Rattus norvegicus: one gene and its partners. The protein of the gene in region 3 interacts with the protein of the main gene of each other region in a pairwise test. Links are inferred from orthologs where the notes say so. Each region holds a gene or a part of one and is shown on either strand. Other genes may lie near its edges.

The links.
Region 1: the proteins of Sall2 (region 3) and Zmiz2 interact in binary tests that used the Homo sapiens proteins (3 or more experiments, as listed by UniProt). The two-hybrid records come from large-scale screens. The link is inferred for Rattus norvegicus from reciprocal best matches to the Homo sapiens genes SALL2 and ZMIZ2.
Region 2: the proteins of Sall2 (region 3) and Cep76 interact in binary tests that used the Homo sapiens proteins (3 or more experiments, as listed by UniProt). The two-hybrid records come from large-scale screens. The link is inferred for Rattus norvegicus from reciprocal best matches to the Homo sapiens genes SALL2 and CEP76.

What each region holds. Positions count from the first base shown.
Region 1 is NC_086032.1:85,475,230-85,478,868, forward strand, and holds part of Zmiz2 (zinc finger MIZ domain-containing protein 2), read left to right. Parts: intron 1-215; coding exon 216-360; intron 361-434; coding exon 435-645; intron 646-1,294; coding exon 1,295-1,400; intron 1,401-1,616; coding exon 1,617-1,774; intron 1,775-2,901; coding exon 2,902-2,969; intron 2,970-3,294; coding exon 3,295-3,363; intron 3,364-3,617; coding exon 3,618-3,639. UniProt on the Homo sapiens protein: Increases ligand-dependent transcriptional activity of AR and other nuclear hormone receptors.
Region 2 is NC_086036.1:63,475,435-63,479,586, forward strand, and holds the start of Cep76 (centrosomal protein of 76 kDa), read right to left. Parts: upstream 2,925-4,152; 5' UTR 2,764-2,924; coding exon 2,701-2,763; intron 2,297-2,700; exon of another isoform or gene 2,171-2,296; intron 1,700-2,170; coding exon 1,544-1,699; intron 489-1,543; exon of another isoform or gene 266-488; coding exon of another isoform or gene 233-265; intron 1-232. Other genes in the region: Psmg2 (proteasome assembly chaperone 2), read left to right, coding at 3,256-3,312. UniProt on the Homo sapiens protein: Centrosomal protein involved in regulation of centriole duplication. Required to limit centriole duplication to once per cell cycle by preventing centriole reduplication.
Region 3 is NC_086033.1:27,495,298-27,498,942, reverse strand, and holds part of Sall2 (sal-like protein 2), read left to right. Parts: coding exon 1-2,536; 3' UTR 2,537-3,645. UniProt on the Homo sapiens protein: Probable transcription factor that plays a role in eye development before, during, and after optic fissure closure.

The DNA of each region.
Region 1 (3,639 bases), on a different chromosome or scaffold from region 3:
GTGTCCTGTGCCTGTTGACAATGTGATTCAGGCAGGGCTTGATAGCCAAGACAGGACAGGACGTGCAGACTGCGAGCCCGGGTTCTAAGAGGAAACACTAATGGAGCCCCCTTTGTAGGGGTTTCTCATCCTCTACAGTTTCTGGCTGGGGTTGAGTTAGGATTTGTGGCTCTGGCAAGGTACCAGACTCATGGCCTGCATACCTCTGCCCTCAGGAAGCGTCCCCTGTGACGAGCTGCGCCTGACCTTCCCAGTTCGGGATGGGGTGGTCCTGGAGCCCTTCCGCCTGCAGCACAACCTGGCTGTGAGCAACCATGTCTTCCAGCTCCGAGACTCTGTGTATAAAACCCTGATGCTGAGGTCAGTCTCACTACCGTCCTGCCCCTGGGCCGTGGCTGCACAGTGCGGGCTGCCATCGTCTTCTTCCCTCCTAGACCTGACTTAGAGCTGCAGTTCAAGTGCTACCACCACGAGGACCGGCAGATGAACACCAACTGGCCGGCCTCGGTGCAGGTCAGCGTCAATGCCACACCCCTCAGCATCGAGCGTGGAGACAACAAGACCTCGCACAAGCCCCTCTACCTGAAGCATGTGTGCCAGCCGGGTCGCAACACCATCCAGATCACCGTCACCGCCTGCTGCTGCGTGAGTGGCCTGTGACGCTGTGGGCAGGGGTCTGGCAGGGGCCAGCTGACACCCCCGGATTATCATCTCCTATGGGGTTGGGAGCCTGTGGGTGACGGTCTTTATCCGTGAGAAACAAGATATTGCTTTTCTTCCTACTTTACTTAAGAAAAGGGAAAATGTACCCTCTGTTACATTAAAAAGATTAATGCTTCTGTTAATTGTGTCAAAGAAACCAAGAAAGCTCATGGAAGATGTTCCGCCTGCACTGGTCTGGGCCTCACCAGGTTCCAGTGGGCAGGATCCCAAGTAGACCTTGAGCTACCAGGAGCCATGCTGGTTGAGGGGGCATGGAGAGAGGGGGGCTCAGAGCCACATCATGCCAGGAGTTCCAGGAACTTGAGGTGATTGTGCTTTGACAGAAAACTAGCAGTGGTTGAGGAATATTAGAGTGCTCTGTGGAGACTGAGATAGTGTGGTGACAAAATAGAAAAGCCTTGCCCATGTGTCAACACTCAGGAGGGCCTGGCCGCCAGGAAGGTGGCTGGCTTGGCTTTCTTCCACACCACACTCCTCCCTCTGTGCCTGGCACCCCTTGAATGAACTCCTAGACATGTCCTCTGAAGCATGCCCACTCACTCTTCATGTAACATTCCTTATTTTCTTGCAGTCCCACCTCTTCGTGCTGCAGCTGGTGCACCGTCCGTCTGTCCGCTCTGTGCTGCAGGGTCTCCTCAAGAAGCGCCTCTTGCCAGCTGAGCACTGCATCACCAAGAGTGAGTGCTGCTTTCTATTCCTCAGCCTCCTGTGCTGTGCCCAGGCTGAACCCTGCCTTGTGGCCCAGAGGCCATTTCCGCTCAGACTGGTGGTTCTTCCCCAGGGGCACTGGGTACCTCCAGGCTACTCCTAGGAGCCTTTGAGCAGTGACTGGGTCCCTGGTTAGCTCACGGTGCTGGGGACCTTTACTCAAGTGCTTTCCCTGTCAATGTCAGTAAAGCGGAACTTCAGTAGCGGCACCATCCCTGGCACCCCTGGGCCCAATGGAGAGGATGGGGTGGAGCAGACGGCTATCAAGGTGTCCCTGAAGTGCCCCATCACCTTCCGCAGGATCCAGCTCCCAGCTCGTGGTCACGACTGTCGCCACATACAGGTATGTGGTCCCTATAGACATTTGTTGAAATTTGTTGTCCTTAAGATATCTTGAGCTTGTGGAGAAACCAGAAAGGTGCTTCCGTATTTACTGGAATCTAGGTGCAAACTGAGAAAACTGCTTAGTAATATTAAGAAGAAAGAACAGTGGGGGAAGGGCATTTGGAGGGATAACCAGGGAGGGGATAGCATTTGAAATGTAAACGAATAAAATAACACAGGACCCCTGGGAGAGGAATACTTCCAGCATTCACCCAGCTGAGACGCACACTAGTACCGGCAGCTGCAGAGCCTGTAAAAGCTTCAGATAAAGGCACATTTACCTGCGGTTCACAGACAGACTCAGCCTGGTGTGGATCTGCACCTGTAATCCCAGGTCTCAGGGCCTGAGGCACTGGGATCTTAGGTGGAAAGCCAGTCTGGGATACATAATGACAATCTGTCTCAGGTGTCTTTTTCCCCTTGAGATGGGACCTCAGGTATCCCAGGCTGACCTCAGGCTCACCATGTAGCTGGGATGAACCTGAATTCCTTCCTAATCATCTTGCCTCAGGCTCCCACACTCTGAGATGGCAGGCAGACACTCAATTCTCAACCTCATCCTCTTTGTCGGGTGGGACACCAGTATCTCAGCTGGCAGAGATAACCTAAAAGACAGACCCACCATAGGGGCCTGGCCTCCTTGCTCACTCCCCAGCCCCCGAGATGCGTTTTGCTCCTTTGAAACATAATCACAGTTTCCCCTACATATGTGCATCTGTCTGTTTGTCTGTTTGTTTGTTTGTGACATGTAGCTCCAGCTGTCCTGGAATAATCCTTTGTAGACCAGGCTGGCCTCAAACACAGAGGTCTACCTGCCTATGCCTCCCGAACACTGGGATTAAAGGCGTGTAACACCCAGCCTGTCCTGGGTGAAGAGGTTCCTTATGCATAGTGCTTTGGTTCTAGGGCAACACAGTGCTGGGGAAGGTTGCTTGGGGTATCCCAAGCTGGGTCTGTTAAAGGCAATGCTGTGGTAGAAACCCCATACCTTAAATACCAACCTAAAGAAGTCATACTTTTCTGAAGACTGTCTAACAACCCTGTCCACTGAGGTGGTGAGAATGGCCTCTCTCCCTGTCTCTGCAGTGCTTTGACCTGGAGTCATACTTACAGCTTAACTGTGAGCGGGGGACCTGGAGGTGTCCGGTGTGCAAGTAAGTCAGTCTGGTTAGACCTGTGGCTTCCTCAGAGGGTGAAACACAAAATAGCATCAAGAAGGGCTCCCTAAGCCTGAGCAGACCATCTCAGGGCAGAAAGTGCCTACTAGGTGGCCTTGCACAGCACCTCTCACACTGAACTACCATAGTGGTTTATCCAGGGTCACCTCGCATAGGGGCCGGTCACCTGACACATGCCATGAACAGTTGCACACAGGGGCCCTTACAGAGTCACCTCACAGAGGTAATAGAGCTGGAAAAGTGATAGGGTCTACACCCCACTAGGCTCGGCTCCCTAAACAGTGTCCTTTGCTTTCTACAGCAAGACGGCATTGCTGGAGGGCCTGGAGGTGGATCAGTATATGCTAGGCATCCTGATTTATATTCAGAAGTAAGTGTCTTCCTCCTGCTACCCCTCATCTGTGGCCACCAGAGGGCAGTCCTGGAGTAAGTGCAATCTTCGGAGCCTCTTCCAAGGTGAAGCAGCTCCACTCGGCCAGTGCCTGCTGCACATCTGCCAAGTGCCCTGCAGGCTTCTGGGTGCAAGAGTGAGCAGAAGGCCTGGTTGAAACCTCCTGACAGCTGAGTAGGGCAGCAGGTGCTAGGCGTGTGGCAAATGACCAGTACCCATCTGTCCCTGCTTAGCTCAGACTACGAGGAGATCACC
Region 2 (4,152 bases), on a different chromosome or scaffold from region 3:
CCAAAGCCTTTATTTTTCTAGCCTAGTTAAAATGAAAATAATACCCATGTCAAAGAGATTTAACTAGCAACAGTCTAAAATGAAGGGATTCAATAGTCTTTAAGTCTTGTCACTCACTAAATGCTAAAACATGTAGACCAGACTGGCCTTGAACTCAGAGAGCTCTGCCTATCTCTGCCTCCTGAGTGCTGGAACGGGATGCCAAGCCTGCCTTTAAAAAACAAATCGATACCTTAAATAAGGCTAAACTTCTTTTAAACCCCATAGAGCATTTGTGTGAGCACAGTGGCACATGTCTTCACTTCCAGCACTTGGGAGGCAGAGGCAGATGGATCTGTGAGTTTAAGGCCAGTCTTGGCACACAGTGAGCTCTAGGACAGCCAGCATAATAAGAGTACTGCTGCTGTCTTCTGACACACTTGTGATGCCAGAAGAGCATCAGATCCCATTACAGATGGTTGTGAGTCACCATGTGGCTGCTGGGAATTGAACTCAGGACCTCTGGAAGGGCAGTCAGTGCTCTTAATTGCTGAGCCATCTCTCCAGCCCGCCATGAACTGATTTTTAAAAAGTAACATTTATGCAGCAGAGGCTGTTAATAGGTCAGTTTTTAATAACAAATAGGTTTGCAAACCTCAAAACCCAAAAAAGGATAGTGTATTAAAGTACCCAACTCTCTGGAGTATTATGAAGTCCATTCTATTTTTAGTAGAATATTACTCTTATATTGAGGTCACAGTTTTTCATTATTGCCTCATTTTCAAAATAAGGCCTGCCTACTTAGTGCACTGGGAGATATCCCATTACTGACCTATTTGTACAGAGAAATGAGGGGTTTTATGTCGCCAGCTCTTTTCTTACGGAATTTCATGAGTGTATCTGTTTTAAAACAGACCTAACCTAAATAAATTAGAGATCGAAGGAATCTGACACATCTGACAGAAGTTTCTGTCACGTCAGAGAAATACTGTCCAACAACTCCTATCTTATGATCTCTGTTAGCCAACTCACGGTGGGGCCAACTTAAACACTCAGAAAAGGAGCCAGGCATTGACTGTGGACACATGCCTTAGTCCCAGCACTCGGGAGGCAGACAACAGGAGATCTCTGTGAATTTGAGGCCATCCTTGGTCTATAAAATGAGTTTCAGGCCAGCCAGAGCTACACTGAGAAAACCTGTCTCAAAAAAAACCAAAAGCACCAGAGGGCAGAACATTATGGAGACGGCAGAGATGACTCAGCAATTTAGAGCACTCGTTTGCTCTTCCAGAGGACCTGAGATCAGTTCCCCCAATATCTTGATGGTGGCTCATTCCAGTTCCAGAGGATCACAGGCCACCCTGAACACTGTGGGCACCAGACCAGCATGTAGCCAAAACAGCCATACACATCAAGTCTTCTTAAAAATCTAAGAAAAATGGCTATTACCAGAGAATGAACTTAAGGTGGTTTTAAGAGAAGCCACAAGTGTGGACCCTGTAAATTGTTAGACAGAGGCAAATATTTTACACTTTCAATTTGTTTAACCTAGGAAATTACTCACAGTCACAAAATTAAGCTCTTTCATTACATCATCAATGATTCCTCGACGTCTGAGAGCTTTGATCAGATCTTCTGTTGATAAATGTTGTTGGTCAGGTGCTAATTCTTCTCGTATAGTCTCGGCAAGAATTTCTCTTATTCTGCCATGGACATCCATCTGTGGAGAAAACCCCACATTACAATTTACAAAATTATACCTGGTGGTGATGGTGCATGCCTTTATTTCTAGCACCCGGGAGGCAGAGACAGGTGGATCTCTGGAGTTCCAGGCCAACCTGGTCTATAGAGTTCCAGGACAGCCAGAAAAACTACACAAAGAAACCCTGTCTCAAAAAACAAAACAAAACAAAAAACCCAACAACAACAACAACAAAAAAAAACCGCACAAAAACAATTTACAACATTATAAAGCAGTTAAACGCCACTTGTAGATTTTAGGCTTCTGAAACTAATGGCAAGTGCCCAATGCCAATAAAATTGAGCTTTTTAAGTGGTGGAAGTTTTGAGCAACATACTAGAAACAATCTGAACTGGTTGGTTATCAACCTTTATTGCTGGTTGCCCGCAAATGATTCAATGAAAACAATTCTTAAGAGAGGGAGTGGAGGACAATCAAAAGAACACAGACCTAGAAGGAGGCAGAACAAAGAGCGAGTTATTTCAGCCTTCTCACTTATTCAACTTGCAACTCTAATTTGTCCGTCTATCTCCTTGCCCATCCGATGGAAAAGCGAGATTGTTTTGAGGATTCGCCAAAAGACGCTAGAGACGCAAACACCGGCGCACCAACACACCATAAAGAAGCTTTATTACTTCAGCTTACGGCCAGCAGTCGGGCGCTGCTGCTGGGAAGTCGCGGTTCTCCTGAAAGCCCCGAGCCGGGTAAACGCGTTCCTTGTCAGTCATTGGAGCGCCCTGTCTCCCATAACTTACTGCGATCGGGCTTCCAGGCGTAAAGAAACCCTAAACATCTGGCCTCGGACTACTTGTACATGAACATCTGGAAAGCGCCCGGACCGCCTCCGGTTTACAGCGGCTCTCCTCCACTCTAGCTAAAGAGCCTTCAGCGCTCCCTCGGGTCACACGCCCAACCGAAGCTTGCCCGCCGGCGCCCGCTCCACAGCCCTGGCTCCGGTCCCGTCCGCCCGAGCTCCTCACCTTGCTCAGCTGCTGGTGGATGAGCTGCTTCAGCTCAGAGGCTTTCTCCGGAGGCAGCGACATGCCGGCACTGGCGCCTCCCGGCCGCTACTCTCCGTCTCACACGGTGCAGCCACGGAGCCCGTCGTCCCGGCCGCGCAGCATCGGTGGCGGGCGTAGCACAAAGCGCCGCGGCCGCGTCAGACCTGGCAGGGCGGGAACCCTGCAGCCGCGGCGCCACAACTAACTGTCTTCAAACCGGGCGGACTGACAGTCGCCGGGGCTGGCCTGCCAGCTGCCTGATCGACGCGGTCCAACGCGCCGCCTCCTCGCGGGTCCCGCACGCGCGGTTCCCACGTCCTCTGTCGCAGGGCCTCGACCTACGACCCCGGGGAACGCCGCCTGCCGAGCGTTCGAGCCTCGTTCAGCACTGAGCGCAGGCAGTGCGTCGGACGCCTACAGGACCCGAAGGACCCGAAGGACCCGGGCGGATCGCGAGTTCCGCCTTCTATCCTAAGGATAGGTATCCTAGCTGTCCCGGACAGCGCTCCAGCTTCTCTTACGCCCACTGCAGTCATGTTCGTTCCCTGCGGGGAGTCGGTCCCCGACCTAAAGAACTTCACACTCCTGATGGTGAGTCTCCACTTGAGTTGGCGCTGTCGCCACCCCGACCCGGGAAGCGCCACCTGGCCTTAGGAGAGCCGGGCACGTGTTTCTGCTTCAGGCTTTAAGCCTGAAAAAAACAAACCAACAAACAAGTTGGTTATCCTTAGAGGCGGCGGTCCAAATTAGCACATTTGTCCGCTCTATCAAGGCCTGCCTGCTAGCTGAAGCCTTCGTTGCCTGGCAACTGTAACGTTTGTACATTGCAGATACATTGCACATAAGTGGCACCGGGGGAATCCCTAAGTTTTATCCGTTGAAGTGTTTTTATGTAGTTTGGGTCCGTGTTGATCTAGGCAATCAATTGCATTAGAGAGCAGATCGTTGTCTAAAAGGCAGTAGTAGAATTGTCCTTGTTTAGTCATCAAGGTTTACAATATAGCTAGAAACACGTGCATATACTAAGAGCATTAAATAAGACAGAAGTTTGAAAAAGAGAACGACCTGAGATTACCGACCTGCGGAAGTCTGGGTGGGAGTGGTTTGACCAAGATTGTATTCCCAGCATTCCAATCGTGAGGCAGGAAGCCCCAGCCTGAAAGACACCTATCCCCGCAAGAAATAAACAAATCAACAAGAACAACAAAGCTTGAGGGGAGGGGGCTAAAGAAATGGCTCCGTAATTAGAGCCTGTGTGGCTTACAGAGGATAGAATTCTTACATACTCACAATGAATGGCTTATAACTCCAGGTCCAGGGTCCCTGACACCCATTCTGGCCAAAGAGAATATCTGAACCCACGTCTGTAAGTACTGCGTGTACTTACAGACACAGTATTTTAAAATGTTTTTAAATTTTAAAAAGTCAACG
Region 3 (3,645 bases):
CCCTCCTCCACCACCTCCACCTCCACCTCCAGGTGTAGGCAGTGGCCACCTGAACATTCCTCTCATCTTGGAAGAGCTGCGGGTGCTGCAGCAGCGCCAGATTCATCAGATGCAGATGACTGAGCAAATCTGCCGCCAGGTGCTGCTACTTGGCTCCTTAGGACAGACAGTGGGCGCCCCTGCCAGTCCCTCAGAGCTACCTGGGACAGGCACTGCCTCTTCCACCAAGCCCCTACTGCCTCTCTTCAGTCCCATCAAGCCTGCCCAAACTGGCAAGACACTGGCATCTTCCTCCTCGTCGTCCTCCTCCTCAGGGGCAGAACCACCTAAGCAGGCTTTCTTCCACCTTTACCATCCACTGGGATCCCAGCATCCCTTCTCTGTAGGAGGGGTTGGGCGAAGCCACAAACCTACCCCTGCCCCCTCCCCTGCTCTGCCAGGCAGCACGGATCAGCTGATTGCCTCACCTCATCTGGCATTCCCGGGCACCACAGGACTCCTGGCAGCTCAGTGTCTTGGGGCAGCAAGGGGCCTTGAAGCTGCAGCCTCTCCAGGGCTCCTGAAGCCAAAGAACGGAAGCGGTGAGCTGGGCTATGGGGAAGTGATCAGTTCCTTGGAGAAGCCCGGTGGAAGGCACAAATGCCGCTTTTGTGCCAAAGTATTCGGCAGTGACAGCGCCCTGCAGATCCACCTTCGTTCCCACACTGGTGAGAGGCCCTATAAGTGCAATGTCTGCGGTAACCGTTTCACTACTCGGGGCAACCTCAAAGTACATTTCCACCGGCATCGTGAGAAGTACCCACATGTGCAAATGAATCCACATCCGGTACCAGAGCACCTAGACTACGTCATCACCAGCAGTGGGCTGCCTTATGGAATGTCGGTGCCACCAGAGAAAGCAGAGGAGGAGGCAGCCACACCGGGCGGAGGTGTTGAACGCAAACCTCTAGTGGCCTCCACCACAGCGCTCAGTGCCACAGAGAGCCTGACGCTGCTCTCCACTGGTACAAGCACAGCAGTGGCTCCTGGGCTCCCTACTTTCAACAAGTTTGTGCTCATGAAAGCAGTGGAGCCCAAGAGTAAAGTGGATGAGAATACTCCCCCGGGGAGTGAGGGCTCAGCCATCTCAGGAGTAGCGGACAGCGGCTCAGCCACCCGAATGCAGCTAAGTAAGCTGGTGACATCGCTACCGAGTTGGGCGCTGCTTACTAATCACTTGAAGTCAACTGGAAGTTTCCCCTTCCCTTATGTGCTAGAACCCTTGGGGGCTTCGCCTTCTGAGACCTCAAAGCTGCAGCAGCTGGTAGAAAAGATCGACCGCCAAGGAGCTGTGGCAGTGGCGTCTACTGCCTCGGGAGCTCCCACTACTTCTGCCCCCGCACCTTCATCCTCCGCTTCTGGACCTAACCAGTGTGTCATCTGTCTCCGGGTGCTGAGCTGCCCTCGGGCTCTACGCCTGCATTATGGCCAACATGGAGGTGAGCGGCCCTTCAAATGTAAAGTGTGTGGCAGAGCTTTCTCCACAAGGGGCAATTTGCGCGCACATTTCGTGGGTCACAAGACCAGTCCAGCTGCCCGGGCCCAGAACTCCTGCCCCATTTGCCAGAAGAAGTTCACTAATGCTGTCACTCTGCAACAACACGTTCGGATGCACCTGGGGGGCCAGATCCCCAACGGGGGTTCCACACTTCCTGAAGGTGGGGGAGTTGCCCAGGAAAACAGCTCTGAGCAGTCTACAGCCTCTGGACCAGGAAGTTTCCCCCAGCCGCAGGCCCAGCAGCCATCTGCAGAAGAGGAGATATCTGAGGAAGAAGAAGAGGATGAGGAAGAAGAGGAAGATGTGACAGATGAAGATTCCCTAGCAGGAAGAGGCTCAGAGAGTGGGGGAGAGAAGGCCATATCAGTACGAGGTGACTCAGAAGAGGTATCTGGGGCAGAGGAGGAAGCGGCAACATCGGGAGCAGCACCCACCAACGGGAAGGAGGTAGATAATAACGAGAAAGCCACTCAACAGGCTCTGCCGCCACCTCCACCACCACCCGACAACCTGGATCGTCCCCAGCCCATGGAGCAAGGACCCAGTGATGTTTCCGGAGGCATGGAGGAAGAGGCCAAACTGGAGGGAACCTCAAGCCCGATGGCGGCACTCCCGCAAGAAGGGGAGGGCACCAGCACCCCTTCGGTGGAAGAGCTGAACTTACCAGAAGCCATGAAAAAGGAGCCAGGAGAGAGCAGCAGCAGAAAGGCCTGTGAAGTTTGTGGCCAGAGCTTTCCCACCCAAACAGCTCTGGAGGAGCATCAGAAGACCCACCCCAAGGATGGGCCGCTCTTCACTTGTGTCTTCTGCAGGCAGGGCTTCCTCGACCGTGCCACCCTCAAGAAACACATGCTGTTGGCTCACCACCAGGTACCGCCCTTTGCACCCCACGGCCCTCAGAATATTGCTACTCTTTCATTGGTCCCTGGCTGTTCCTCCTCCATCCCTTCTCCAGGGCTCTCCCCATTCCCTCGAAAAGACGACCCCGCCATCCCGTGAGCCTGTGTTCTGTACCTGATCCTCTATGACCGCGAGATCAGAAACCAAGAGCTCCATAGAAGGACCTCCAAGATTTAGTCACCCTTCTCTTGTCTTTTCTCAAGTTCTGACATGATGTTTCTTCTAGTGGCTTCTCTCTAGTCCCTGAGCTTGACAATTGCATTTGAAAGGGAATGTCCCCTAAGAAATTTTTATCACCTTTTTGTTCTATATAACTTTTACATTCTCAAGGGGGAGCTCTCTCCTCTTCCCCCTTTCCCTCCGGCAGGTATCCTAGAACCCCCATCTTTGGCATGGCAGCCTTGTTCAAAGGGGCTGGCAACTGTCCATGGAAGGCCCAGCTCTATTCCTTAGTGATCTTGACCAAGACACCCTGCAAGACTTTCTTGGGCCAGGACCTTCTTGAAAAGCTTGTGAGGAGTGGTAGGTAGGTTTCTTTCTGCAACCACTACATAGTTTCCCACTGAGCCCTGGAGTTCTAGATCGACCTGCCTTGCCACTTGAGCCCTAGCACCATCATTGCTGTGAAAGCCCAGGAACTGTGCTTGATAAGGTGACTCCAAGGACCTGATCCGAGAGGCAGAGACTCCAAGGACCTGATCCGAGAGGCAGAGGAGAACGTAGCCTCCGTCCTACTTCAGCCGCCTGTAGCTGAGGCTGTGCCCAACAAGCACACCAGAGGAAAGAAGTAACTGTAACTTCTTCTTCCCCCTGCTCCAGAGGATACTGGCAATGAAGATACTCCAGTAGTTGGTGGCTCACCCTAATCGGTAGGGACTCGCAAAGGACTGGGATCCCTTTTTCAGTATGTTCCTCGACTCACCACATTAAGGCAAAGAGAGTGGCTGGTCAAGATGCCAAGACTCCCTCAGCTTCTCACTTATCAAGGCCTCTCAACCAACAAGCATATTCCTTACCAAGAGGCCTCTCGTGTGATATTTTAGGAAGCATAAAGTTCCTGACTCTAAAGAGCCTCGTTGGTAAGGCAGTTTATTTAAGTGATGGTGGAGGGTCGAGGATTGTTGCTAAAATAGGCATTGCTGAGAATCTACTTGATGAAGAACCGACTTGATGGAAGGGGACCTGGTGTTCAGCTCGTGTGAGTAGGA